4 linked regions of the Oryzias latipes genome follow. The protein of the gene in region 1 interacts with the protein of each later gene in a pairwise test. Links are inferred from orthologs where the notes say so. Each region holds a gene or a part of one and is shown on either strand. Other genes may lie near its edges.

What was found.
Region 2: the proteins of dachshund homolog 1 (region 1) and fibroblast growth factor 12 interact in binary tests that used the Homo sapiens proteins (3 or more experiments, as listed by UniProt). The two-hybrid records come from large-scale screens. The link is inferred for Oryzias latipes from reciprocal best matches to the Homo sapiens genes DACH1 and FGF12.
Region 3: the proteins of dachshund homolog 1 (region 1) and c17h1orf35 interact in binary tests that used the Homo sapiens proteins (3 or more experiments, as listed by UniProt). The two-hybrid records come from large-scale screens. The link is inferred for Oryzias latipes from reciprocal best matches to the Homo sapiens genes DACH1 and C1orf35.
Region 4: the proteins of dachshund homolog 1 (region 1) and rnf14 interact in binary tests that used the Homo sapiens proteins (3 or more experiments, as listed by UniProt). The two-hybrid records come from large-scale screens. The link is inferred for Oryzias latipes from reciprocal best matches to the Homo sapiens genes DACH1 and RNF14.

What each region holds. Positions count from the first base shown.
Region 1 is NC_019873.2:18,572,409-18,579,670, forward strand, and holds the end of dachshund homolog 1, read right to left. Parts: intron 6,526-7,262; coding exon 6,329-6,525; intron 5,790-6,328; coding exon 5,639-5,789; intron 4,312-5,638; coding exon 4,183-4,311; intron 3,993-4,182; coding exon 3,874-3,992; intron 2,861-3,873; coding exon 2,792-2,860; 3' UTR 2,288-2,791; downstream 1-2,287. UniProt on the Homo sapiens protein: Transcription factor that is involved in regulation of organogenesis. Seems to be a regulator of SIX1, SIX6 and probably SIX5.
Region 2 is NC_019871.2:567,884-575,728, forward strand, and holds the start of fibroblast growth factor 12, read left to right. Parts: upstream 1-2,500; 5' UTR 2,501-2,967; coding exon 2,968-3,166; intron 3,167-4,943; coding exon 4,944-5,054; intron 5,055-5,988; coding exon 5,989-6,092; intron 6,093-7,554; coding exon 7,555-7,753; intron 7,754-7,845. UniProt on the Homo sapiens protein: Involved in nervous system development and function. Involved in the positive regulation of voltage-gated sodium channel activity. Promotes neuronal excitability by elevating the voltage dependence of neuronal sodium channel SCN8A fast inactivation.
Region 3 is NC_019875.2:27,888,656-27,896,412, forward strand, and holds the start of c17h1orf35 (multiple myeloma tumor-associated protein 2), read left to right. Parts: upstream 1-3,211; 5' UTR 3,212-3,666; coding exon 3,667-3,763; intron 3,764-3,881; coding exon of another isoform or gene 3,882-3,903; exon of another isoform or gene 3,904-4,203; intron 4,204-4,848; exon of another isoform or gene 4,849-4,882; coding exon 4,883-5,033; intron 5,034-5,124; coding exon 5,125-5,170; intron 5,171-5,246; coding exon 5,247-5,329; intron 5,330-5,698; coding exon 5,699-5,771; intron 5,772-6,096; coding exon 6,097-6,173; intron 6,174-6,285; coding exon 6,286-6,405; intron 6,406-7,757. Other genes in the region: guanylate kinase, read right to left, coding at 709-822, 3,071-3,104.
Region 4 is NC_019872.2:6,685,242-6,692,060, reverse strand, and holds the end of rnf14 (E3 ubiquitin-protein ligase RNF14), read right to left. Parts: intron 6,286-6,819; coding exon 6,096-6,285; intron 5,993-6,095; coding exon 5,622-5,992; intron 5,514-5,621; coding exon 5,285-5,513; intron 4,362-5,284; coding exon 4,189-4,361; intron 3,522-4,188; coding exon 3,391-3,521; intron 3,314-3,390; coding exon 3,253-3,313; 3' UTR 2,492-3,252; downstream 1-2,491. UniProt on the Homo sapiens protein: E3 ubiquitin-protein ligase that plays a key role in the RNF14-RNF25 translation quality control pathway, a pathway that takes place when a ribosome has stalled during translation, and which promotes ubiquitination and degradation of translation factors on stalled ribosomes.

The sequences.
Region 1 (7,262 bases):
TCAAAGATAATCAGATTAAACAGTGCAGAATTGTGTGTGTGTGCGAGTTTGTGTGCGCTCACCAATAAAGGGACCCCAGATTTGGAGACAGCCTTGACTCCTGCTGTTTGCTTTGTTCATTAAGAGGAGATGAGCAGATGGTTTGCTGGTCTGTTGTGCAGTGCACACACGCAGACACACGCACACACACATGCAAATACAGGAAGACACATGCATGCTCAGTCCTGTCACCTTAGCTTTATCCTCCATTTATCTTTTCCATTACACATCTCTCAGCAGGACAATGCTACTCATTGAATTGTGAGGAATGTGTGTGTGTATGTGTGTGTTTATGTGACACAGTGACTGTTACAAGGGAGCATGACAGAGGAGAAGTAGCACCGGATGAAGTCACCAACGCTTTCAGTAAGCCAGCCTCTGAGGTGATTTTAGCAAAACCCGGTGACTCATTCTCACACATTTCTGTAAATTCTTACAATTCACTGGAAATATTTTCAGGAAGCACTTGTCCGTGTCAGAGGCTTTTTTAAGTCCCGCTCCACAGTTTGTCTGATTTTGCTAAGGAAACTGAGACATTTTTGACAAAGTTAAATGAGTAGAAACCTGAAGATTAATACGTAAAAAACTTTAAGATAACATTTTGCTGACTCCAGAACAAACTCTAATGCATTCAATTGGACTGTTTTTCAAACGCATTCACACTTTTTGTTTCTCTTTCAATCCTTTAAACTTACACATACTCAGATATTCATTTTAAGATTGTGTAATAACCATCATTTGCTAGACTGTAGTTTGAAAGCACTAAAAATAAAGACTCAGCTTATTATTGGTGCTACAAAAGCCAATGTTTTGAAACACACATATACAACATTTTAAATGACAGCTTGAATCGGGCTGCAGAAATATTCAATTCGATGAACGGCATTCTCAAAATCAAAACAAATTTATATAGAAATCTTGATGCAAGTTGGAAGAAAAATGTGATTGTTATCTGTAATTAAACAGGAGTAAGCTCAGTATCAAGTTTAGGTCTCTTACATCAGCAGGGCACTGTTCTGGTCCAGTTAAGTTTGGGTTTTTGGAGGGTGTCTAAGGTCATTGTGTCCCAGAATTATACCAACTCCTGCTGCTGAAAAGGATCCCACAAAAAGAGCAACTCTTAATGTAGTGTTATTGTTTTATTTTACAGATAGCCTATTTAATTTAATATTTGTATTAAAAAAAGCGCTCTACGAATCCTGAATAAAACCATCATGTTGTCCCATTTACAAAACAAATTAGTTTTGTCACTAGTAAAAAAAAAATCTTCTGAGATCCTTATGGCCTAAAACAGGGGGTCTTCAACCTTTTAACACAGAAAGAGCCATGTGGAGCAGTTTCTTTCTGACCAAAACCCAGCGAGAGACACAACGCCCCACTTAACAGTTAGAAAAATACAAAGTTTTTGTGGCCATTAAGCCATTCATTTGTATCATATACAATATTGAATTATAACAGGATTAAATTTGTCAACAAATGAGAACTTTAAAGTCTTTTAGTTTTCCCAGTACTGCATCCTTTTAATATTCAACCCCCCCGTGTCAAATAAGATCCTCCTTTTGCAATAGATTTACTTGAATAAAAAATTAAAAAAGCCAAATCAAACATGGTCAGACAGTAGATTAAACCTTTTTCTCAGTTATTTAACATGTTAAAAATCTAAATATAAAAGGCAAAATTTAATTAATTAGCATAAAACTACAAACCCATTATTTATTCAAATCATTTGCATGTTTTTTTCAAAGGCAAAGAGTCATAACAGAGGGCTAAAAGAGCCTCAGGTTGCAGACCCCTAGCCTAAAGGAATTACAGAAAAATATTTCCACATTTATAAAAACATAGTGTTTGCTTTGCTAAAGGAGACTCAGAATGATCCACAGTTTAATCAAATTAGAAAGGTTTTACGTCAAAATTCTCTTTGCATTGCAAATCTATTAAACCAAAGGGCACTTTCAATGCCAGCCAACAAACCGACAATCTTCCTGCCAATATGTCAAAAAGGGCATGTATGTTATTTGGAAGAATATAATCGATGCATCCTAATTTTCCACACGTTCACATACATTTCTTTTTTGCGCTATACCAACACAGATAAAGTAGAATTTATTATAAATTTGTGAATAAGAGGTAATGCTGTAGATTAAAAATGTTTAAATACATCTCTAAAATAATATTTGAACAATAAAGTTAAAAAAAAAAACTAAATCAAAAGCATCACTTTAAAAATAAAGAAACAATGAGCAACACAGTTTATGAAAAATGATCTGTATTGTTTGTATTGTCAAACTGCACTACTGCATAACATACACAATAGAGGTCATTACCTGAATGTACAACATGCAGTTAGGATTTTCTTTTTTTTACCATAATAATAATAATAATAATAAAAGTGATCACTATATATATGTACACATCTCTGTTACAAGTTATTTTCATCACCTGTGTCCAAAAAAAAAACTGCACTGACAACAAACAACTATGATCTTTATCATCTAGTAACTATAAACCGTGATTAAAAGAAAACACAGCCAAACACAACATCAGAATAAAGTTCTATTCCAGTTGGGATTTGAAGGTAAATGCAATAAATTAAAGAAGAGAACAATGATTAAAGTTCAGGTGTCACCCTTGAAATGAGGAGGAAGCTGGAGAATTGTTTCCCACGTGCCACGGTGGGTCTGAGCGTGTCTGTCAGCTATATTGGTCATAATTGAAGAGTCTTCATCGCGCTCTGCTCCGGTCTTTCCATTAATCATTCATCTTTCCACTGCTTTAGCTTCTTCTCAGAACAGTCCGGTGGTCTGAAGGAACACTCTTCCCTCTGAAATCCCCCATGCAAAAAAATAACAATGTTACTCAAAACACTCAAATGTTGATTAAAAAAGAAAGAGATAACGCAATCCTTTTATATAAACTGTGGAGAAGGTAAAAAAAGCAGCAATATTCACAAAGAAGCATTATAAAGTTCAAAGTGATTTTTCTGCCCTGATGCCCATATTTGGAGGAAAAAACTTCCTGGCACAAAGGAACAACATCCTGGTTTGCTGTCTGACAGACAATTCCCTCTTAAATGATTTATTACTGGGTGTTAATTATGCAAATGATGTCCAAACAAACTCGTCATGAGGACAATTAAGACAGCCATTAATTAGTGGCCAGTTCTCTTCTTGCTTCACTGACGTTCAATTAAAAATTGCTTTTGAACAAGCACACTGTCTGCTTTGGTGCTCCTGGCAGAGTCCGGAGCAGAGGTGGGCCGGGACCACGCACTCTTTTGATAAGGCCGAGCCAGAGATCGCGGCCGTTTTTCTGTCTGTCAAAGATGTGGCAAGTGGGATTTTCCCATTAAACTGCCCCTATGAAGACAATAATGCAGGCAAAAATAAACATATTAAAATGCCTGTCTCCATTAAAACAGTCGCCCCAGTGAACTGCCTCATGCTTCATTGCATTTTGTTCAATTTCTCAGGAGCGAGCTCCATGTGAAATCTTTCAAAACCCTTCCAGCAGACTGGTCAGTTAGGCATCAAAAGCAGTGAGTAGGTGAAATAATGAAATCTGTTGTCCTAGCTCAGTCAACAGGAGCATAATAAATCTCAGGCAGCAGGTTTACTGCTATTCTTGCCGTAAAATTGAATTTTTTTTCATAACGGAAGAACCAATTCATCACTGCCTACAATAATTCTTGCAAACTCTGTGTAGTGTTTCACAAGCGCAATAGTCTTCTGAGCTTCAGGGGCTCTGTTCTTCCATGAGTAAATATAGAATATCCTTGTTAATCTAAATGTGAGGCTGTCCTCACAGCCGCACACGGATTGCAGCAGAGTTTGTCACCTGGACAGCTCTACCTTGTACTGTCGCCTTGCTGTCCAGCCTGCTGTCGTCGTGGCTGCTCCCGTCCACGTCCTGGGTCACAGCTTCTGTGTGAGGAAGGACTGCGGATGATTGATGGCCTGCAGTTTGGTCATTAATTAATAAAGACCCTTAATTAGAGGATGATAAGCAATCAAGATAAAGTTGCTTTGAAAGTTTGTTGACATTCAAGATGAGGATTAAAATAATTGCTGTAACGTTAGCTGAGGTTTGGAGTCAAATGAGAAATATAATATGTGGAATAAAAAAAAAAGGATTCAGTTTCTGTACCTAAGTGAGTGTTGGCAGTATGCAGCAGGCTGTGCTCGGCCTGATCGCGCAGCTTGACCTCTTCCTCAAGGGCTTCTTGAAGTCGCCTCTTGCTTCTTTTTTCTTTTTTGAGACGCTTTTGAATCAGAACTAAAAAAAGAAAGAAAAAAGATTTTTAAAAAAAGCAATAAAAAAGTTATTTTCTGTGTGGTTTTCCTTTTGATGGTGTTCCTTATGACACTTCTCAAACACCCACTCCACTGAAAATCGTGTTTTTGGTATTTGTAATGTATTCTTGTGGCATTTTTACATGATGGAGAACATTTATAAAGAAAATGAAGATTAAATAAGATTAAAATTGCATTTCTGAGTATTTCTTCATTCAAATTGCAGACGAACAAAGGTCATTTGTAAAAGCTTGAAGCTGTGATAGGTGCTACAGTAAGCAGGCCACCAGCTCCCTGCTCCACTCCATTCTGATGCATCCACTGGCAGATGACTAAATAAATGCATGTCTTTATTTTCCTCGTCTAAGTTGGTATCTGGCTCAAAACTGTACGGCTGGATAACTCCAATATTGCTCGCTATTTTTGTTGCACCACTAATGTTAGGTTGGGGTTGTGAGGGGCTGAAAGCTTGCGGGAGAGAGTGCAAACAGATGGAGGATGGGAATTGAGGACAGGCTCACTCAGCGCCTGCAGTCCTGCCCCCATATTAGAGGCAAATTTCTGATGAACAACTCTTGTTCTACAGAAACTATGTCCTAAAAAATGACACAGGTTTTTTGATGCTATTATTATGCTGTTTTTGCTAGAAAAACGGTATTATCATGATGTAAAGACCATGGGGAACACTTTTACAATAGATTAATAGATGATTGGACTGGGACTTTAATATCTAACGCTATTTTAAAAAAAGCGATTAAAAAAACCTTTTAGAGAGTTTTTTTTTTTTAAAGTGGCTTTATTTGTTTATTCATTTTAAATCCTTTCTTCTATTTTAGTTTGGAACAGTCACAGCTGGAATTTGATAGGTTGGGAATAAACAAGGAATTTTAAACTGCAAAAACTATGTGACATAAAAGAAGCTCTTCTCCACCTGATGTAACATCAGGAAAAATGTCCTTGACTGGAATTTGTTCTGACGCTACCTTTTGTAAACTTGGCAAACTTGATTTAGTTTGACGCTCACTGCCAACTTAAGCCTAATTCACCTCTGCAGCTGCTTTGAGGGCTAATATACAGTGGGTGTCCTCACTTCCTTATCTGATTTCCAACTTAATGGACACCCTGTCAGCTCAGAAGTGGATTAAACCAACCTTGTTTAGCAGCACAGCAGAATTGTCAGAGTTCAGGTGTTAAAACACGTGCTGCGCCAGTGTGGATAAATTCAACAGACAGCACAAAGTTTCTCGTCATCGTGTGGCGTCCACATGAAAAACAGTTTTTTTTCTTATCTTGTTGAAACTTTGATGCACCTCTATTTTTCTGCTCCATGCTCAACTGTCTTTCCAGGGTTTCCCTGAGCTCCCTCTCTCGGACAAGCTCCATCTTCAGCTCCGTCCTCTCCAGCTGGTCCTGCTTCTCCTGCGCCCGGGCATTCTCTATGGCGACCCTCAGCAGGCCCTGCTTGGAGTCACACAGGCGCACACCAACAGGTTACATGCTGGACAGGAGCCAAGAGGTGCTTCATCAAAGAGACGTGTGCACCTCAACAAAGGCACTGTGTTTTCCAGATAAATGGACAAACTAAAGCATCGGCTTATGGTAATGGGAATTAAGTACGGTAAATACTCCCACTGTGGAAATATCCGTTACTTCTTTGGGCAATATTTCAGTTTATAGTTTGACTTTTTAATGCCTTGATGAAAGTCAACGCTGATCCTTTAACAACAGGTTTAAAAAAAAAAAACAGGAAACTGCTAACACATTGAGGTCACATGAGGTTGTTTTCCCCCCTCCCTGTGAAAATCTGAGTGGAGAAGGATTTTATTGTGACTGCGTTACAACAAAGACGAGTAAAATCTGAGAAACAGGTCAACACATGCCCAACCCAATTACTCCAAATGTCTGCTATTTACCATTTCAGGAAATCCCAGAGGGCGGCTCATCTCTTTTCCTATTCATCTTAAAAATATGATAACAATAAAGCCCCAGCAGAGCCTCACCTGGATGTTTGTGAGCAGGGTCTCTATGGAGGACAAGCCTTCCGGGAAGATGAAGGGAGTGTGGTGAAGACCTGCTGGGAGCTTCTGTCCTGCAGGGTAAGATACCCTCTCGCAGCTCTCCTTGCCTGATGGGAGCTTTTGGTCAACTTGTCTATCACAGCTCTCCCTGGTAGACTGTGCAACCAAGTAGCTGTTATCTGGAGGGCAGAGAGACAGTTTGAAGTCAAACAGTGAGGCTGAACTACACTCCTGACAGAATGCGTCAGGAGTGTAGTTCAGCCTAAACTACTTGCACACTCCTCAGAGTAAAAACATTATAAATGTTCATTTAATTTAAAAAGATCAAGTTTTCACACAAAGGAGGTTCAAAATTTAAAAAAATAACTAAAACTTTGAATTTCAAAAAGAAAAATCTTTACAACATTAATTTTTAAGCAATAGTTCAAGATTCATTACTTCTTCTTTTTGCAAATTTAAAATTTAAATTTCTTTTCACACATTCTATATATTTTACCTGGTTTTAGGTTTTTAATTTATCTTTGCTCTACATCTTTCCAAGCTTTTCTCAAAAGCATCACAGATGAGAAAGTTTTGTCTCATTGAGAGCTAGGATCTAGGCATAAGGAAATTATTTTTAGAATGAGTCAAAATCCTTTGACTCTTGACAATAGAAAAACTTGTTTTGAGACTCAAAAACACTCAAATTTCACAGAAATCTTTGGTTTAATTTTAAGAATGTTATTTCTAAAGTTTAGGAAATGCTGACAAGTCGTCATCAATTTGGACAAAACTTTGGATTTATGTTTTAGGAATAAGTGCTAGTTTACGATCTTATGAGAATTAAATAAAATGGGCCAACTAGTACGAAGATCATATTTTTGTTTTATTCACATTTTGATCTAAAATTAGTCTTTTACGCTTATTACACTTGTTT
Region 2 (7,845 bases), on another chromosome or scaffold:
TCAGCTCTGGATGTGGATCAGCTCCGGATCAGGATCAGCTCTGGATCTGGATCAACTCTGGATGTGGATCAGCTCTGGAATGTGGATCAGCCCTGGATCTGGATCAGCTCTGGATGTGGATCAGCTCTGGATCAGGTCTGGATCTGGATCAGCTCTGGATCTGGATCAGCTCTGGATGTGGATAAGGTCTGGATCAGCTCTGGATCAGGATCATCTCTGGATCAGGTCTGGATCAGGATCAGCTCTGGATCAGGTCTGGATCAGGATCAGCTCTGGATCAGGTCTGGATCAGGATCAGCTCTGGATCTGGATCAGCTCTGGATGTGGATCAGCTCTGGATCATTTCTGGATCAGGATCAGCTCTGGATCTGGATCAGCTCTGGATCTGGATCAGTTCTGGATCTGGATCAGGTCTGGATCTGGATCAACTCTGGATCTGGATAAGCTCTGGATGTGGATAAGCTCTGGATGTGGATCAGCTCTGGATCAGGATCAGCTCCGGATCAGGATCAGCTCTGGATGTGGATCAGCTCTGGATGTGGATCAGCTCTGGATCAGGATCAGCTCTGGATCAGGATCAGCTCCGGATCTGGAACAACTCTGGATGTGGATCAGCTCTGGATCAGGATCAAGTCTGGATCAGGATCAGCTCTGGATCTGGATCAGCTCTGGATCAGGTCTGGATCAGGATCAGCTCTGGATCTGGATCAGCTTTGGATGTGGATCAGCTCTGGATCAGCTCTGGAATGTGGATCAGCTCTGGATCTGGATCAGCTCTGGATGTGGATCAGCTCTGGATCAGGTCTGGATCTGGATCAGCTCTGGATCTGGATCAGCTCTGGATGTGGATCAGCTCTGGATCAGCTCTGGATCTGGATCAGCTCTGGATGTGGATCAGCTCTGGATCAGGTCTGGATCTGGATCAGGTCTGGATCTGGATCAGCTCTGGATCTGGATCAGCTCTGGATGTGGATCAGGTCTGGATCAGCTCTGGATCAGGATCATCTCTGGATCAGGTCTGGATCAGGATCAGCTCTGGATCAGCTCTGGATCAGGATCACCTCTGGATCAGGTCTGGATCAGGATCAGCTCTGGATCAGGATCCTGAAGCGGGCCTCCCCTTCAGGAAGACGAGGAGCTCAGAGTGGAGCCGCCGCTCCTCCACATCCAGAGGCCTGTTGAAGTGGATTGTTCACGTCTTTCAGACCCCCGGAGTTGTTCTGGGCGGGTCCCACTGAGAGGAGGCCCCCCAGGAGAACCCGCAGTGTTAGCGGAACTTTTGGGTTCCAAAGGAACAGCTGGTGGAAGGGTTCACCTTGATGGAGGCCAGAATTCATGAAAAAGTTTGACTTTTTAGACCCAGTTTAGTAAACAGCGTGTCAGTAAAAACCTTCCACGTGAGGCTGATGGGATGGGGGGCGGCGTGCCCCGCAGATGACCTGAAGGGGCCACAGGGGTTTGGCTGTGGCCCTTCCTCAGAAAAATGCTGATCAGCATAGATCCAATGTTGTTGGTATATGCTGAGGAACAGAACCTTCAGGCAGAACCTTTTCTCTAAGCCGTGGGCGGGTTCTATCTGCAGCTAAACTATGGTGGCCCCGAAGGGCCAGTGACACCAACAACCCACTCAACGCAAAAACGTAATAGAGGTCACTGCTGCCACTAAGAAAGCAAAAACAACAAGGTTACATTTAGGATCTAAAACCAAATTCCACAAAAAAAGAAAAGAAAAGGAATTTTTCTCCAAATGAAATGTAAAAAAGAAAACGAAACAAAAAGAAACAGGAAAAGGACGGCAGAACCGAGAGTTTGCTTCCTGTTGGCAATGTTGAAATCCAGTTTCTGATGCTTATACTCACTCAAAAATGGGGGGTTGGGGGCTGCCCCCTGTAGCTCCACCCATGTAGCTCCGCCCATGTAGCCCCGCCCATGTAGCTCCGCCCATGTAGCCCCACCCATGTAGCTCCGCCCCTGGTATGGAGCAGATCCAATATGGTTTGACAGCAAATAACATTCGGTTGAAATGATGGGCAATCTTCATGACATAAATAAATGATGATAGTAGACTAAAATAATAACATAATATGATAAATGCAAACATTTATGTCTAATTGATGATTGACATTTGTTTGATAAACCTGTTTTCCTGTTAAGATCAATTTCTAAACAAAAAATCATTTTATTTGATGTTTAATCTTAAAAAATCACAAATATTGAAAGAAAAACATTTTCTCTTTAGTGAAAACTGAAACCAAACGAGTGAAAAGAGGAAAGGATGAGGGTTGAATGATGACCTTTGACCTTCATGTGACGGACCTCAGAGTGAACATTCTGCACCTCCAAACGTGAAGGCGGCGAGGACCGTCCTGAGGCGTGGAACCGTGGCGCGTTCGTGTGATGAAGCATCGGGATGTGGGAGCAGAATATTTATAGGAGCGTCTTCCTCCTCCTCCTCCTCCTCCACTCGCCCCCCTCCCTCTGCCTCTCAGCCTCTCTTCACATTCAGCAGCGAGGAAGAGGAGGACGAGGAGCCAGCCTCCTCTGCTCCGGGATCCTTCAGAACTTCTGTTCCGGGTTTGAGCTCCTCTGGAGAGAGGAGACGGTTCTGGAAGATCCAAACAGCTTCTGCAGACACGAGTTCTCTGGGACCAAAACTACCCAGAAGGCTTTGCTCTTCATTTATTCATCCATGCAGACGCTCCGTCAGCTCGGAGGACCATCATCTTCTCTGCAGGTCAAAGCGGAACCGTTCTGAGAAGACGGTTGGATTCCCGATAGCTGAGGCTCTGGGACGTGACAGGATTTTACCGCTTCAGCAGGTCGGGACTCTTCTGGCGACTCACGGGGGTGCTCAGCACTCGCCTCTGCAGCTCGGCGCCACCGTGGCTCGGTTCTGATTGACTCCCCTTCAGATGGTCCGCTGTCTTCTGCTCTGGACTGAAACCTGGAGCCGGTTCTTGGTGGGAGATGGCGGCGGCCATCGCCAGCTCCCTGATCCGGCAGAAGCGTCAGGCCCGCGAGTCCAACAACAACCAAGTCGCCAGCAGCAAGCGGCGCTCCAGTCCCAGCAAAGACCCGCGCTCGCTGTGCGAGCGGCACGTCTTCAGCGTCTTCAGAAAAGTTCGCTTCTGCAGCGGGAAGAAGCGGCCGGTGCGCCGGAAACCAGGTGGGTCCAGAACCGTCTCTGGTCGGTCCAGAAGAACAGCGTCTGTTTTTCTGCTAGAAACCAGCATCGGCACAGGTGAGCTCGCTGCACCAGTGCATGATGGGAAAGTTCGATCTGCTAGGGACACCGGTGGGGTGGGAAGCGGGACGAAGCTGGACCTCCTGCAGGAGGACAGCAAGGAGGTCCCGGTTCCCTTTGATGGAAGCTGGTCCTGATGAGGAAGGGGGGCGGTCCATTCAGTGGGGGTGGGGGGCCTCTGAGGTTCAACGGTGGAGCCCCCCCGATGACCTGCAAGTCGTCCTGCACACCAATGACACGACAACGTTGAAGCAGAGGGGAGGGGGTGGGGGGCTTTTACTTTAGAGCCCCGCCTCCATTTTGTTCTAACTTTCTGGGGTTTTCACGTCATCAGACACGGATCCACTGTGACACAAATGTCTGGCGTGGAATGAGGGGGGACTTTGTGGAGCGAAGGATTCTAAGGATTCAGGAGAAAGTTCGTCTCTGAATGTTTGGTCCCGTTGGTTTGGTAGCCGTCACTCCCAGCTGATTCCCTTCCAGTGTTCCTGTGTCTTTATCCACTTCTTCTCTGGTGGATTCCAGTTTTTGGCAGTAATATCTGCAGCAGAGCGGCTCGGCTCCTTCGTCGTCACACCGGAAGTCCTCTTGTTGTGTTTTCTTCTTGTCCAACAGCTGAGCAGACAGACGGGATCAGAGCTGACGGCTCTTTGATTGACAGATTTCACTGCTACAATCTTCTGACACATGAGGTGCATATTTGAATAAACCCCCTTTGAAAATTGTTTATATTTGGAACTACGACTCTTAAGGCAGGTGTACAAACAAAAAAGGATTTTTTTTTTATTCGTAGTTGTAAATTTATGACTTTAAAAAGGAAAAACACTAAAGTTGTCTGTCTATTAGAGCCGCGCTGGAAGATGACAGATGTGGAGCTTTATTTCCAGATAGGTTTAAAAAAAAAAGACATTCTGAACATTTTGGCGACTCAAAATCAGAATATTTTCAGTGTAGCCGTCTTTCTGGGGTTTGGTGTCAGTAAAACGGAGTTTCAGGGGGAGCGGCGCCTCCCGCCTCAGGGGGAGACACCCCGTCCTCTGACCACAGCTTACAGCAGGGCTGCTGGTTCCTGGTCCTGCAGATCTCTTCCAGCTCTCTGCCTGCTGCTGGTTACCTGGACCAGGTGTTCATTCAGACAGAAGGTGGAGGTTTCTGGTTGAGCTAATCAGCAGCTAGCAGGACTTGAAGATCTGGACAACAGTCAGGTTGCTGGACCTCCAGGACCAGGAATGAGCGGATCCGCCTTAGACTTTCAGACTTTCTGTGGCTCCTTCACCGTGGAAGTTCTTCCTCCGTGGTCAGAATACCCATCATACCGGCTCACAATAGACTTCAGGTGTGTCCTCATTTGTGGGCGGAGCCGTTTGTGGCGTTGTCTGTAACTCACTTCCTGGTGGCGTGGCCCTGCGTCCTCCTGGACTCTGAGGTGAGCTTCAGAAATGGCAGAGCAGCCGTTGTTTCAGCATCTTCACCCCATCAGCTTGTCCGGATCAGTAGAGGCTCCTCCCCCGGCGGTGTGCAGCGCACCTTTAAAAATAGCTCTGCAGGGAGGAACGGCGTCTTGTTGCTGCAGCTCCATCAGAGGATCTAAGCCTCCCCCTGAGCACAGGACGGTGAACGGGTGATTGGCGGGAAGCTGCTCAGGTGGGAGGAGTCTGCGGTGCCCCCCCTCATGTCTTTTGTGTTACTGTTGTTGCAGAGCCGCAGCTGAAGGGCATCGTGACGCGTCTGTTCAGCGAGCAGGGCTTCTTCCTGCAGATGCTGCCTGATGGGACCATCAGCGGCTGTAAAGACGAGAACAGCGACCACAGTGAGTTCCCCGCCCACCTGCTGCCACACACTGCCACACCCACCTGCTGCCACACCCACCTGCTGCCACACCCACCTGCTGCCACACACACACTGCCACACCCACCTGCTGCCACACCCACCTGCTGCCACACCCACCTGCTGCCACACCCACCTGCTGCCACACACACACTGCCACACCCACCTGCTGCCACACCCACCTGCTGCCACACCCACCTGCTGCCACACCCACCTGCTGCCACACCCACCTGCTGCCACACACACACTGCCACACCCACCTGCTGCCACACCCACCTGCTGCCACACCCACCTGCTGCCACACCCACCTGCTGCCACACACACACTGCCACACCCACCTGCTGCCACACCCACCTGCTGCCACACCCACCTGACTGAAGGAACCCAGATCCGTGTCACTCAGTGTCCTCTGATCCGGCACGCCGTCCGACCGGACCCTGGCCTCAGACAGCCACAGTTTGGTCCAATGGGAGGGTCAATCATTTTAGATCCAATTCCAACCCACACACTGACGTTTTCATGGCTCCGCCCACAGAAACATCAGGAGACGTTCCCTCCTGGTGTTTCCTCCTCATCAGATGAAGATCCTTGATCTGCAGACGCTCAGCTTTGCTTCCTGCTGCAGACCCACCTCCTCTGCCGCTGTGGAAGAGCCGAAAAGGAGGCCAGGAGGAGGAGGACCAGAGTTAAATAAAGGAGGACCAGCAGCAGCGCGGCCACAGGCCTCCTCCACCTCCTCCACCTCCTCTCCCACGCAGCAGCTCCGTCTCTGAGGAGCCAATCGCCTGGTGGCGCGGTCCCGTTTCGTTCCGCCTCGTTCTGGCTGTCTGCTGCGGCGCTGCTGTCTCCGCTGAGTGGGTCGCGTGCGTTGGCGGGCGGGAAGCTGCTGCTGACCCGGTTCTGTTTGTCGCCCTCAGCTCTCTTCAACCTGATCCCTGTGGGGCTGAGGGTCGTGGCCATCCAGGGAGTGAAGGCGGGGCTCTACGTGGCCATGAACGCCGAGGGATTCCTCTACACGTCTGTAAGTCTCCTCACAAAAACATGGTTCACCATCAGAACCCATCCATGGAAAACGTTCTTCAGGACGGGTTCTGCTGTCCACTCTTGTGACCGAATGGAGAGCTACGGGTTTTTGTTTGTCCGGGTCTCAGAGAGGAGCGGCTCCGTCTTCAGGTGCAGGCGTGTCTTTCCGTTCCCTTCAGGCTCGTCTGGACAGTGAAAATGGAACGTACCATTGTCCTGCGTATTCATCGCTCTGATGACGGTCGGCGTCCTTACGCCACTCTCTAGTGGTTAGTCTCTATGGGTTTTTTTGAGCGACAGGAAGTAGGCGGGCTTCCTGAAAAGACAGGAAGTAACTTTTGTTTCTGGGTGGTCATGAAATGTTTTGACTCCTTTGCTGTTGGAACACGTCTGATCGAGTCCTCCAGGAAGGAAAGCGGTTACTGGTTCAACTCTGGAGTTTGTCAGGCTCAGGGGGAGGGGCTTGTTCTGCTCTGATTGACTTGCATTGAGCACCTGTTATGTCTGGGGGGCGCGCCTGTGAAGCACGGAGCAAACACCTGTTATATCTGGGGGGGCAGGTGAACGAGCTAAACTGGGAATCAGAGCGCGACCGGTGCTGTCGGGTCAGAACACGGACGCCCCCGCCCCGCTGCATGATGGGACCAGAAGCTGCTGGACGTCACCCGTAGGTGTTCGTCATGACAGAACTGCTGACCCGGTTTGGATCAGAACAGGTTTGTGTACTGAACAGAACAGGGGGGGGGGGCGTCATCCTCCAATGAAACAAAACTATGACCCGATGGGGACGAAAATAAGAGTCTGACAGAATCTGTCAAATTATTGGTTGAAATCTATAAAGTATTCAACCATAGTTTTCCTCTTTATTCTAGTATCTTCCTCCGTGTTTTATCTCTTAGCTCCTCCCACAGTGTTTCATCTTTTTCAACCATTCAATTATTCAAATGTTCAGCTCCTTCAGCTTTTTCCAGCTCTGACTTTTGGTCCTTCAAATCCTAGAACTGTTCCAGATATTCCAGGATTTCTGCCTCCATTGAAATAAATGGGGAATGAGGTGCATGAGGTTGCTGGTTCGATACCCGGCTCTGGCGTTTTTCACAAACATATCTTTTTGTTATGGTGCGGTTTTCACTGTATTTATGCTCAACTGTGATCATTTCTTTCTTGTTTTTTGCCATTTATTCCTCTTTAAGCTTCATTTTCATTCAGTATTGTTGCATCAACCTGCTCCTTCTAGTATTTCTAGCTTTTCTTTTCTTCACATGTTCATGGCAGAAACAGCTGAAGACTCACAATAATTCAAAGAACGTCAACACAGCCGCCAAGACTCTGGTGTTTACAGGTTAAATTACGTTGTTGGTTTCTATGGAAACTTCCAGAAGACTCCAAAGACTTGGAACGGCTAGAATTCCCGGTTCTTGGGTTCCTGGTGTGAATCTAAACCGCTCTGTCTGTTTCAGGACGTCTTCACGCCCGAGTGCAAGTTCAAGGAGTCGGTCTTTGAGAACTACTACGTCATCTACTCGTCCACTCTGTACCGGCAGCACGAGTCGGGCCGGGCCTGGTTCCTGGGACTCAACAAGGAGGGAATCATCATGAAGGGGAACCGGGTGAAGAAAACCAAACCCTGCTCACACTTTGTTCCCAGACCCATTGAAGGTAACAGGCTCTCACGGGAGCACACAAAGACCGGCTCGACCTTTGACCTCCATGTCCACACGGAGCACACCTTGATCTGAGATGGGTAGAAG
Region 3 (7,757 bases), on another chromosome or scaffold:
GAAGGCCCCATTGTTTTCCTGGTTCTCTTTCTTTATAATCGTATCTTCTGCCATTTTTTGGTGCTTCACTCCCTCTATAGTTTTTCAGCTATGTTATCCATTCAACTATTAAAACGTTCAGCTCGTTCAGCTTTTTCCAGCTGTGACTTTTGGTCCTTCAAATCCTTGAACTTTTCAAGGGTTTTTGCCTCCATTGAAAAACACGGGGAATCCTTTGCTTCTTTCTGTGTAGGAGCTCGCTGGTTCGATACCCGGAGCTCGCATTATTCACAGAAATATATTTTTGTTATTGTGTTGTTCTCACTTTATTTATGGTCAACTTTGATCATTTCTCTTTAAAAAAAAATTATTTTTTTTGCCAATTATTACCCTTTAAGTTTCATTTTCATTCAGCATTAAACTCTGCATTTTCTTCTAGAAATGCAGCTCCTTCTAGCTTTATCTGTTTTTGTTTTTTAGTTCTCTGTCTACTTTTTCCCCCCTATTGTTGCGTCTATGTTTATGAGTTTGTGTGTATTGTTTCTGTTTCTGCTCTTGTCTGCCTTCTGTTGTCTTTTCTTTGTTGGCTGAACTTGTCGTGTTCCTTAGGGACCATCAACCTGTTCTATGGGGACTAAAGATGGAAAATAGCCTGATAGGCTCTAATCTTATATAAATTAGCTTTACTGTTGACCGGCTAAAAGCCTGATGGTAAATGACAGGACTTACGGGACACGCTGAAGCCAAACACACTGTCGTATTCGCCCATGAGCTTCTTCAGCAGGGTGCTCTTTCCCGCCCCCGACGGGCCACTAAACACCAGGGGCCTGGGTCCAGCCATAGCTGCAGGAGAAGGAATAAAACACAAACCGCTGAATTCTTTTCATTCTTTCCAGACAATCCGAGGTTCCAGCCAGAGAAACCGGCCAAACCGGCCTAACGATCGTCATCTTTATCTCCATGTATTTTTTTTTAAATAGAATAAGAAACTCAACAAATATTGACATCATATCTTTACAACAAGAGTCGAGAGAACAAACCTCAAAAGCTAGAAAAGAAAATCCTCTGATCTTTTTGTTTTATCATGTCTGTTTTGTCAAATATTGTCAACAACAAAAAAAAAAAAGCCCCACAAACTCTACTTTACCTTTTCACCTTTCCTGAAATCACGCAGCACTTGAGCAGACGGAGGGAAATGAACGGGCGGACTTATATTGAGTCAGGATGGGAGGGTCACTGACAGGGTGGGGCTGCCTCTTCCACGTCAGCTTCAGCTTTCTGTTTCTTTTTTTTCCTATTGTAAACACTACAGCAACTGCGTAAAAAGCTGCTGCGTCAATGTTTTTAAATAGATATGCGGAACCTGCTCAGCAGGTAAAGCCCTTTTCATCATTAACATTAAAAAAAAAGACTTAAACTCTGCTTTAGTCCTTTAGTCATAAAACATCCTTTTAGTTTCCCGACAGAAACAGTTTAAACAAATGAAAGCACAGGTGCCCTACGTTTTACTGCAATTTGATTTATTCAAGCTTCAACAGTTCCAGTCGTGGACTGAAAAATAAAGAAATGTAGGTTTAAATCTAGTGTCAAATGACTCAATTGTGTTGTTTTCAGGTCACATTTAGCGAACCAAGTTTTTAACACAAGAGAAGCCCAGGAAAAAAAAATCCCAATAATTATTTATATATATTTAACCACAAAATACAGAATCTACAGTCGATGATCAATGGTTGCATCCAATTAAGATGAAAATATATATATATTTGGTGCATAGTTAAGACCTAGTTCTGCTCAAGACCATTTATTTCTCTAAACTTAAGTTGTCAATTAGAAAGATTAGCTTCTGATTTCCCTCAAACTGTTTTCCAAAAAAAAAAACCTTTCCTACTTAGAAGAGGCTGACAGGAAATGAGAAACATGTGAAGCTACGATCAGCACAGACTGACTCTCATGATGAACGCACAGAGAATCATGTGATCAGATTTACAACCAAATAAAAATCACGTGAAGCCTACAAAGCACTAGCGGCTCCGTGAACCAGAAAGGCTGAGCGTCACTGTCAAATTCTATTGGACATTTTTTTAATCTACATTTCAGTTTACATGACAGTTTGGTTAAACACTGTTAACACATAACTAGTGATTTAACCAAATCAAAACACAACTTTCATTAATTCAATGAGAACATTTTACGTAAAAAATTGACAGAAAATGTTTGTTTTTTATATAAAATTGATTAAAATGAGATGTTATCAATCAATGTTAAGTACATGTTCTAAGAGAAGATCAATTGATTATCCTTAAGAAAACACACAGAAAATACACATGTATTGCATTACAGATGTCCTGTTTACTTGAATGTAGATATTATTGTGGCAAAGTAATAAACTGATTTTATCTCTTGGGTTTGACGGTTTTCTGTTAATTTATTTCTTTAGTATCTCACTGGTTGGTTAAAAATATAATATGTTAAATGTCTGTTGTGTCAAACTGCACCAATGTTGTTTTGCTCCGAATAAATACCATTTAAAAATGCTCAACAGATTATCAGACTTTTCAGTAAACCAAAACCTAAAAAATTGGTTCCAACTTAAATGTTTTTTTTTGTTTTTTTTTTAATATTGCAAGGTATGTAACATCTCACAGATATAAGCTTATATTCTAATTCTTCAAAATGCACATTTTTAGTGACAAATGGTAGAAAATGCATTAATTTGCATGAATAAGCAAACTGGATATCTTATAAATATTTTTAAAAAAGAAGAAGAAAAAAGAAAGACAATTTTGTTAGTGATGTAATTTTTCTCCCAAATTACATTTTACAAAGGGTTTCCTAATTTAAGTTGACATTAAACAAAATAGATGATACTGGACGTTTTTATGCTACTATCAAAAGTTGTATCATCCATCTAGGATTTATATGCATCCTGAAATAAAATAAAACACCGGTTGACTTCTTGGGCACCATCTTTTCCTGTAGCTCCGTGACAACAAAGTGTCTCCAGGAATGAATAGTGGTTCCGACACAGAGATGGGAAAAAGAGAACAGAACAGCAGAAGGAGGAAAGGAAGTCAAAAATCCTCATTCCTACCTGAAAACAGTCTGATAAAATGTCTCATGTACATCGGGAGGCAGGTTTTTCTGATTCTGCAGACGGTCCTCGGAGCATTTTCTGCCTCCGCCGCCCTTTTCCTCACCGCGAGACGCCTACGTCATCACTACGTACCCAAACACGTTACGTCCGCGCGCGCCACTGGACGCGACCAAATGAAATAAACAAAAGGAGCAGGAAATGCTCGTTAGTCGGGAAAAAAGTTGTATTGCTTCTATTTGCAGTAGTCAGATCTTTATTGCTGAGGATTACAAATCTACCGTTTTAAATTTTTTACTTAAATAAAAAAATTGTTTGTTGGGTCTTTGCAACTTTAAGCTGCGCGCGCGAGAGTCCAGCTTTAACGCTCTGCTCTTTGTCGCGTTGTTGGGTTGTTTGTTTGTTTGGAAGTTGCTGTCGAAACAAACGCAGCCGTGTGGGTTTCTTTCGTGGAAACTGGGAATCTAAACTTCCTGGATGAGTCCACGCTAACGGCCCGCACCGACCACGCAGCTCTGCTAACCAACGTAGCTGCTAGCTAGCTAGCTAAGTGTTACTTTTCCCCCCCGAATCTCCACTTTTTTGCCCTTTTGAAGATGTTTGGTTCATCGAGATCCGGAGGCATCCGTGGAGGCCAAGACCAGTTCAACTGGGATGAAGTGAAGGTCGATAAACACAGAGAGAATTATCTCGGTAAGTCCATAACGTGCAGTCGATTACGCTATCAGCGCGTGCCACACATCCAGGAAAGATTAGCTCCAGATGCTTTTAAACCCCGTGTGGCCCCCCTAAAATTAGGTTGTTTTCCTACCTTTTGTTATTGAATTCCTCATTACACAAGGCTTGGCTTGATCTAATAGCTTGATATCAATCCCGATTAATCTCCGTAAAGAAAGCAAAAACGTGCTGTCAATGCCTCCTCTGGTCGACACGTTCGTTGTCTCTGTGCCCTCGCCGCTGCCAGCGGGTCAGCATGCCCAGAGAGAGCTACGTAGTGATCACCACAGTAGTCGGGACCGAGAAACATGTAACAAAAGCAAATCGACAAGCTCTCATAGCTGCTTAGATTTCTGAATGTTGTCTGTGTAAAATATGAGCTAAAACCACAACCTTTCAGGTGCAAAGTCAAACAGAAATGAGGCTCAAAACACCCACCCTTAACATGGCAGGAGACTGTTGCCTTATGTGTGGATTGCCTAAATACTTGGAATTAAAAAAACAGTCTAACAACAAGACTGCACTTGTCTATAATGAGATATTCTAAAAGACAAAGTTTACTCAGCTGGAGGAAGTTTAAAACATTGATCTGATATCAATTTTACAGCTTATATTGCACACTTGTATATACTGTTTGTTTGTTTGCTTGTTTGATTTTATTATATTACAATGTTATCTTTACTACTTTTCCCTTCCTTACTGTTCTTGCACTGATGGTGATGCTTAAATCTCATTGTACTATGCACAATGACAATAAAGCCATTCTATTCTATTCTATTCTATTCTAATTTGATTCTTACACTTGAACCTTTATGGGGGAAAATGCAAAAGGATACATCTACTGGAGAAGTCTGGACTGCTAATATTTTCATTTAAATGTGTGTAACCATGATCATCTTTAAAAGTCAAATAGATTTATTGAAATGATTATTTGGTGCAAAACATTAAAACATCTAGATAAAAGAAAAAGTCTAAATATAAAGTATAACAATCCTGCATAATACATTTTGTATTCTGAATTTGTGGCATTTGAAATGTAGAATTTAAAGAAGAACCTTTACCTAAATAGTTTGACCTCTTCTGCGTTTTTTCCAGGAAACTCCTTGATGGCTCCCGTAGGACGATGGCAGAAAGGGAAAGATCTGACCTGGTATGCAAAGGACAAGAAAGGTGGTGCTCCTTTGTCCAAAGAAGAGGAGCTTGCTGCAGTCAGAGCTGCAGAGGAGGAGGCACTGATGGCTGCCCTGTACGTGCGACTTCCCATAAGCCATTTCCTGTACCTTCTTGAAGATTAGGACACAAAAAGTGATGCTTTGCGTTTCTTGTTCTGAACTTAGAGGCCATAAGAATATAAAGAGACAACCAACAGGGCTTACTAAAGAGGTATGGATACGTTGCTGGTCAATATTGGAAAAATTGCTGTCAAGTCCTGTAAGTTGAATTTGATTTTTTTTTTCAGGATCTTGTAGAGGTATGCCGGAGAGAAGAGGTTGATGGTGAAGAGAAGGATGTGGATCGTATCTCAGGTTTAGGAAGCTCAAGGTGAGATTATCTTCTTGTCTGTGTCATAAAACAGATTTTTTTTATGCAAAATGTTTGCTTTAGGAAAATTTCAACTTTTCTTTTTCTTATTATAAATGCAATTTGCTTGAACAAATGTACAGAAGTTATGTTTAATTGTCCAAATGACAAATGGGAGTTTGTTAATAGTTTTTTTTTTTCTAGTTTATACACTAAAATGAGTCAAATGATTTGTTAATCAGGTTGCTGGTGAATAATATTCTTGGATATTTCATGACTTTTCTTTGCAGTTTTAGGTTTGGCAGAATTCAACCTTCTGTTCAGAGGAGATAAGGTGACTGGCTGTCTGTGGTTTGTTTAAGTTGACTCCATCTTTATTTCCCTCTAAAGTGCAGGGTCACGAAAAATGGTGCTGTCCCAAAAGGAAAAGGAGGCGGCTAAAATGGGTCTGCAAATTTTTACAGTAAGTCGTCTTTCTACATCATCCATACTGCCATTTGGAAACATTATTGTATTAAAACAGCATTTTTTAATTGTCAAAAATTAGTAGTAAATATGTGTTTGATTTTTAATTTTTTAACTATTGACTTTATTAGCATTAGTTATTTAGCAATATTGACGAGGGTTGAGTATGGCAAAAAGAATGAGTCGATTCAGGACTATATGATTAAATATGAATCACTTAAACTTACAAATTTGTTTTTTTTATATATATATTGTAATTTTTTTATACTTAACCCTAAGAAATACTCTAATCTAGAAAAATAAAATTCTTGCTGACGTTTCAGCATCATAAGACTGAAGGAGGCCAAGAAACATCAGCAACAACAACACAGAGTTCAGTGAAACAAGAAACTGAAGTCCGGTGAGAAAAGCGTTTATTTAATGACCTTTACAATGTACAGTCTCTTATCCAACGGTATGTAAGGGGAGGAGTAAATGAATAAAAATCTACTTACTGTGTCTTTAATATTTAGACGTGAAAGTAAAAAGAAGAAAAAAGAGAAAAAGAGCAAAAAGGCAAAAAAGGAGAAGAAGAAGAAGAAAAGACAAAGACAGGATTCTTCCTCTTCAGAGTCAAACGACGACTGCAAAAGGTTTGTCAAAGTCTTCATTCAAAACTGTAGAATTTTAAAAAAATGTCATAAAAATGAGTTTATAACAGGGACAGATTTTCACTGAAGACACCATGACTACATTTCCATTTGCACACTTCTATGTATATCTATCTACCTGACAACAAAGTGTGTTATACAAGTCAAAAATAGGCGCTAACACGTTTTTAAGAATACAATCTTTAAAAAGGAGAACAGCATTCTTTCAGCTGTAAATATTAGCATTTCAACGCACAATACTTATATATTCAATCCAATGAAAATGATGTTTTCGGTGTTTTTAACATGTTCTTGTAGCATTTTTCTCATGATGGAGGACATATAGAAAGAAAATTTATCTTAAAGCTTGGAGAAAGCTTGTAGTTTGATAGAAACTACAGTCGGCGAGCCACAAGCTCCCTGCTCCGCTCCATTCAGATGCTGACAAATAGATCCATGAACGTCTCAGTTTTCCACGTCTGAGCTGTAATCTGGATCCAAACTGTACGTATGGCCAGCTCCAATATGGCTCGCCATTTCTGTTGCACTGCTAATGTTATCTTGGGGTTGTGAGAGCTGTAAGCTAGCTGTGGAGAGTGTAAACAAAGGGATGATGGGAAATCAGCACTGGCGTACCCCCACTGGCCCACCTGCAAGGCAAAGGCCAATTTCTGTGGAAAACCCTTCCGCTGTAGGTTTCCATAACCATTCGGTCTGCAACAACCGTTCTTAATGTGCTGACGTCACCTTATGTGATTGGCTGTCCGTTGGTCTGATGACGTGTCAGATGGTGATTGGTCTGGACAAATTACGATACTACCATAGAAGAAGATATTTCTGTTGTAAACAGAGCTACGTCATGGAGTAAGATAATCTTCTGAACGTGCTTTTATTATTGTTATGATTATCATTAAGTGCATTTGCAGCCGAACGGACAGCGTTCCGAACCTTTCCCTGCTTGCAAACACAAAGCTACGAGACTCCGGCTGCTCTGCTCAGAGAAACGGTTTGCATGTGTGGAGCAGCCGGTTCATTCTAACAGCCACAGATCTTTTTATAAAGTGGGTTGTGGCCAAATCTCTCTAGAAACACTACAAAGAATGTCAGACACTACTTATGAAGGAAAAGAACTTTATGTTACAAAAGGAAATGTGAACTAAAACGCTACGTAGTTTGTCCAAGTGGGGTTACCGTAGTGTGACGTTATCCTCAGTCAAATGGACCCCAAACGGTTATTGCAGGCCGAATGGTTACAGTACCTACACCGCTCTGCAGAAACTATGTCCTAGAAAACGAGACAGGTTTTTTTGATTTGGCTAAAAATGGCTTCATCGGAATGAGTTGAACTGTGCTTT
Region 4 (6,819 bases), on another chromosome or scaffold:
CCTGGTTTCATGGACGGAAGGCACCGCAAACCAGCACGAGCTAAACCGGCTCCCGACTTTGTCTTTTTTTCATAATAATTTTAAATTTTGTCCTGTTTAATCCAATTACTCGGGTCGCGGTGGGCGGGGCTGATCTCCACAGCCTTCTGTTCACATCAATGATTAAAGTTATTATTTGACAGTACAGTACAGAAGTTATTTGTTGAAAAAAAACGTTTCTAAAGTACTTTTATTTGTGAAACAAATGCTTGAGCCTGTAAAATGGTTTGTTCTTTCTTTTCAATGTTTAATAGAGTATTTAATTGTATATTAATTTTAAGAAAAAATAAAGGTTTCGACTTCACGGATTTTGCCTATCACAGGTTCTTTTTGGAACGTAACCCCCGCGAAAAACAAGGGATTACTGTATTGGTTTCCTATGATCTGTTCTATAGAGGAGTTTGTAACAGCCTGAAACTGTGAACTGCCGTCCCTGCAGCCGCTCCTGTCTCCCGTCACACGCGGCTGCGTGTGTGAGAACGAAAGGAGAGGGGTAGTGGGCTCAGGCTGCAAGGGTGGAACGCACACGCAGAGCGCTGTCGCTGTTGCGCAACACAAGGATCATGGTGTGCCTATATATTACTCAGCTCATGCTAATAATGTCATTCTTTATGAACTATTGTAGATATTTTGATGATGTGTCTTTATTTTCCATAAATGTATTCTTTGTCTGTCTGTGGTTTAGTTGGTGTCGGTATTGTACATAAAGACAGCAGGTAATGCAGGAAAACAGCTGCACTTTATGAGATCAGAAATAAAAAATCCATCATTTAGAAAAAAAATTAGCACAATGTTTTTTTATCTATTTCTTCAGACTAAAAACGTTAAATTTATTGGTGCTCCTGTGTTAATATTTCAGATCAATTTACATGTAATATTATTAATTGAATTATTTTTCTCGGCATCAAATGGTTCAGATGGTCAAAATGTTTTTAGTTTAAATAAGGAATGACAGATTTTTTTATTTCAGGCCCTTTAAGCTTTTTTCTGTTTTAGACTAGAACAGGGTTTCTGTGTGGCTAAATAAAGTTAATATTTGTTAAAATTGGATTTATATTCCTTTTTTCTTTTGTTAGTGTTAAAAGATACAATTTTAGGTATACTTACACAATTTTTATAGATACTAACCTAATAGTCACCGCAGCCAGTGTGTTGGGGGGTTGCGAAACATTTTCTTTTTCCTAGGGGGGGCGTTGCAAAAAAATAATAGAAAAGCACTGCCTTATAGTAATGATTTTATTTATTTTTTACCCGTTTAATTTATTTATTTATTAATGTATTTCCATTGATTTTTTTAATTTGACAGCCTAAAAGTCATAAATCAACAATTTCTACAATAACAGATTTTTGTTTTTTTGTGGAAACCTAACCTGTAATTGAAAAAAAATGTCTGAATGTTTCATAGTCAATAGTACTAAAGTCTTTTGCTTTCATTAAGAGATCCAATAGAGATCCAATGCTTCTACAGAGTTCCAATAGAGATCCAATAGGTTGAAACATCCATCGGCCCGTGACTCTCATCTAAAAACGTTCCTCCTGTGTTCATCCAGAACTCAACCGTTTATCTAAAACAATAGATCTCATTCATGACCTAAATCTCTCACCATTTTAATTCTAACGTGAGAGCAGAGTTTCTTCACACTGACCTGCCTTTTCCAGCTTCGTAGAATGCAGGAGAAGGGGTTGGAAAGCTGCTGCAGGTGCTCGTTTCCTGTGCTTCCACCAGCAGGCGCGTCTTTAATGGACATTGTAAATGTCCCACCGGTCAGTCAGCATCTATGGACAAAGATGGGCAGGGGGCTCAGGGTGCGAGCAGAGAGCACGAGGCGTGGGATGGGACAGAACAGGCCAGGAGAGAGGGGCCTATTTTAAAGGGTTCTCCTCTGTCAGCAACTCTGGCCAAAGGGATGACACAATGTTGACTCTATTCAGTCTCAGGCTCCAACGTGTGCTCTTTGTTTCTTTTTGTGTGTCATTGTGTCTCTGTGTCACAGCTTAACCTCTGGATTAGAGCAAACAGGGGTGGTTTTTCAGGTGTCCAGATGTTACCAAACACCTGGAGTTGACTTCTGTAGGGTGGATTTTGGATTCTGATGTTCCACACAGGACTTCCGTAATATTGAGCAAAATGTAATAATCCTTTTAAAACAATTTATTCTCACATTTAGTGTACCACCGACTGTCCTTTTTGCACTGTGGGGTCATATATATATATTTTTTTAAGATGTTAAACACAATCCTGCAGGCGCTGCTATAATAACCGCTTCCTTTTAGCTTAAAATGTGGAACATTGAAGAGGGAAGACGTTTTATAAATAAGTTTTGCTGCTGTTAAACCTAAAAAAGACATTTGCACATGAATATGATGGTCAATATTCTCAGATTTGCTGTTTTCCTTAATGAGTTTGAGTTAAAAAAAAACAATTGCAATTGTGAAAATGAAAAACAAACAATGATGGCAAACTTGGAACTTTTATTTTGGTGAACATCCTGCATTGTAAATTAAAACAGGAAGTGACCTAAAGTAAGGTAACAATGCAATTGTATTATCCAGTCCGAACCAACACTGACCAACAAATTATTGAGGAATAGATGAAGAAAAGTTTCAAGTTCAGAAAAAAAAAATATTTGATTTCGTTTCATCTTTCATAATAGCTTTTCTTTCAGATCACATTAAAAAAAAGCAATAAATATCTTTGCTGATTGCAAGTATGTTGTCTATGTCTAATTTCAAAATAAAAAATGTCATATTGTGCCAAAGTCTTTTACTTTTCCTGGAACAGACCTAATTCTTATTTGCCAGTAATACATTAGGTTGCATGAAGAAGTGCTTAACTCGTTAAAAAAGCTATTAAACGTCATTGAAAAAGAAAAATTCTTTGGACTTAAGTGCTAACCCAGTGCCATAATACCAAGGGTTATAAGAGAACTTCATATGCAAGTCTCTCCTTGATCTATGATGAATTAAAAATGCTAAATGGTGTCTATAAGTATCCAAAACAACCACAGTAGTTGAAGTTTCTTTAACAATCACCCAGGTAGGGGATGTTTCTGGTGTTGATTTTGTCGCACATTCTTAGCATGAACAACACGATGTGCTCACAGTGGCATCACAGAGACGACATGTTTGAAGTCAGAGTCTCAGATGACGTGGTGATTATGTAAGAAATAAAGTGCTTTCAAATAGCAGTGAGGCACTGGAAGGGTGAGGGGCTCAGTCTTCTTCGTCACTCCAAAAATTGTCGTCATCATCTACGTCCACACCCTGGAAAAGCCTGGAACAGACGAGGGAGACCGCATTAAACACATGTGCGTGGAAATGTTTCAAGTCTCTCACAAACTGGTGACTTACTGGTTGTAACAGGGTGAATGGGGGTTGTTAAAGTGACCGTATGGGTTGACTTTGCTGAGGACGCCCAAGCACAGCCAACAGAAGTACTGTTTACAAGAGGTGCAGGTCATCTTATTACAGCCGTCAACTTTCTAAGGAGAAACAAAAACAAAGAAATGAGGAACACTGATGACCAAGTTCTGAAGCGTCAAAGAAAAAATGAGTCCCTCCTTAACTGGATATTGAAATACCCACTCCAATGAAAATTGTGTTTTTAACAGGTTCCTGTAGCATTTTTCTGATGATAGAGAGCATATGCATCACCTTGCAGACAAATATGTCCATTTTTCTCTTTGTTTTCTTCGTCCAAGTTGGTGTCTGACTCAAAACTGTCCGGCTGGATAGCTCCAATATTGCTCACAGTTTTTTTCTTTTTCTACTGGTAATGTTCGGTTGGGGGTGTGAGAGGCTGGGGGGAGTGTCAATAAAGGGATGTCAGGAAGTAAGGGCAGACTTGCTCCACACCAACAGTCCTGCCCACGACTCAGAGGCGAATTTCTAATGAACTACTGTTGCTCTGCAGAAACTATGTCCATTTACATTTTGGCTAAAACAGCATAATAACAATTAAAATACCACTATGGACACTTTTAACATAGCTCAAAAGATTTTTGGAGTGAGAGTTGTAGTTATTTTTTTTTCCCAAATCCATCTCCAACACTGTATATTTCTGTTTAGTTTAAATGAGAAATAGTGGACAACACTGCCCCCTGCTGCTCGTAGAGGCAAAGTCCAGAGCTACTAGCAGGGGGAGCCTACCTGTATGTTGGTTCCACATTTGGGACAGCATTTGCAATTCTCCGTGAGCCAGTCCCTGCTGAAAGACTCCTCCACCGCTTTCTGGATCACCCGTTTCCCAAAGCGTTTCTCCATGAACTTCTTCCCCTCCGATGTGGCTGACAGGTACTCGTCTCTGAGGTTACGCAGTTCCTCTGAAGGATCAAACAGAAAGAAAGGGAGGCGTTAACCTTTATTGTTTACATTCTACCTTTTAGACACAAAGATAAAAAATAAAATAAAAACTTGTAAGGTATTTTACTTTAAAACATACCTACTAGAACAAATATTGTTTGATGAATAGATTTGTATCTTGTTTAATAATAATTGTTTCTTTTTTTTATCCCACAATGGGGAAATTCTTCTCTGCATTTTGACCCATCCCCTGGGGGAGGGGTGAGCTGCAGACGAGCCGCGCTTGGGAGGCAGCAGTGTTAAGCTGCCTTGCTTACGATTGATATGGTCATTGCCCCATTACCATTACCATTGCTTGCCATTAATTAATTGTTCATTCCCCATGAGAATTGAACACTGGTTTCCTGCGTGGCAGTCTTTCACCTTACCAACTGAGCTGCCCAGCTGCCGTTTATGCATATTGGAAAGAAAATTAAGATAACTGAAAGAGAAATATTATGGGACTAGATTTACAACAACCCAAAACTAAGTTTTTTCCAGTAGCTGACAGACAAAGTCAAAGGATTTTGAATGTAATAAGAAACTGAGAAGATATTAAAAGGTCTAAAATAATTTTATCTTTGTCCCCCCCTTTTTTTTTTTACCATTTTACATTGGAGCTTCAGCTCCAGCGTTTACATTTTGTAGACTAATGTAACTTTTAGACTGTTTACACAATTAGCGTTTAAAATAACCCAACATCACGCTCATTGTGTAAACACTTGAAAACATTCCAGAAGATTCTGGAGCTAAGAAAAATTGCTTTGCTACTTGAAGAGTTACGGTGTGTCACAAAGTTGGTGTTATTTAGGTCTCGCCAGTAAAGGGGTTGAAAAAAAAACATAAACACAAGATTTGTTTTCCTACCATTTACACGGACATTTCATTTTCCACGTCACTTTACCTGCAGGGAATTTACAGTGGGAGACACCGTGATAAGCAAGCTTGCACATGGTGCAAAATGCATGCTGGCAAGCCGAGCAAATGCCCATCGTAGTGTCTGGCTCCACCATGACGGCTGTGCCACAAAACTGACGAGGACAGTAGACCACGTCAGCCATGAGATCTAAAGTGGACTGAAGAAGCAGCCGGTCGTATCGGGCAAACAGCTCTTCATCCACAAGCTGCTTGACCTGACATATGAAGAGATGAGAAGATCAAAAAAGTTATTATAGAATAAAAAACAGAGGTCAATGTGGATGACGTTTCCTAGATCAAAACATTCTGTTTCACTAGAATACCTGCAGCGGTGTGGCTAATGAGGTACATTTGGGCTCAGGGCAATTGAGGCACTGAACATTGCCGTCCCGTATCTGGATCTGGAAGTACTCAGTCATGCAGGCGTTGCAGTACACGTGCTGACACTCTTTAAAGCAGAGACAGTGGGAGCCCAGCTTCTCCGAGAAGCAGATCCCACAGCAGAACACCTTGCTGTCGAAGACCTTCTGCCGCTGCGCCTCATCAAAGTCCAGCAGCTGAGGTAGGGGGTCAGCCCGTGGGTCCATCAACACCACAGCGCGGGGGTCAAGCTTAGAAGGGTGCTGTCCCAGCTTGTCTGTTATCTCTGGTTTATTCTCTGCTACTTCAGACTTACTGTCACATTTTGTAACATCTGGACAAAAAAAAAAATCAACAGGAGAAACTTCACATTCTTCATCATTAACATAACTAAATATCTATTTTCTAAACAGGATGTTTCAATAAATATGCATTACCTGCAGCAGTGGGATCAGTTTTTCTTCGTTCACCACATAGCTTTGTGTTGTTCCTGTTGACTTCAAGAGGAGATTTGATGCCCAGGAAGTCCAAGGTCTCCTCCTTAAGGAACTGCATCCATGTGAAGAGGATCACGCAGCCCTGGTTTTCCTCCCATAACTCATCCAGGCGTTGGCAAAGAGTGCTCAACTGTAACCAGCAGAGAAGTGCTAGGATGAGTACAGTCAAAGATTGTTTTGTATGAATGCAATTCCATTTAAAACCCTTAAAGTACCACTCCCATCATCTTTAGAGCTGTATTTAAAGTGCCCCCAGTGGTCTTTTAATCATGATGAGAAATGCGAGTTTAATTTAATTTTCCTTAGATATAAGGATATATAGATGTTAAAAAACACTATTTTCACTGGAGTGTGCCTTTAAGCTTTCTTTTCTGAGGTAAATTATTTTAAAAAAAGAGATTTTTGGATTTGGAAATTGTTTATTTCCAACAAAGCAAGAACAATGCACAAAAAAAAACAATCAGAGTTTAACATCCATACAAAGATGTATCAAACATAGGACAATTAGTCATTAAATCATAGATTGCTTAAAAAGGGAGTGGAAGGAAGCAGATTTTTAAAATTGTTCTACCATACCATTGTCTTTACATCATTATCTGATTCATAACTTCTAATCAGATATTTATACCTTAAAAACGCAGTTTCAGGTCATTAAGAGTCCTTA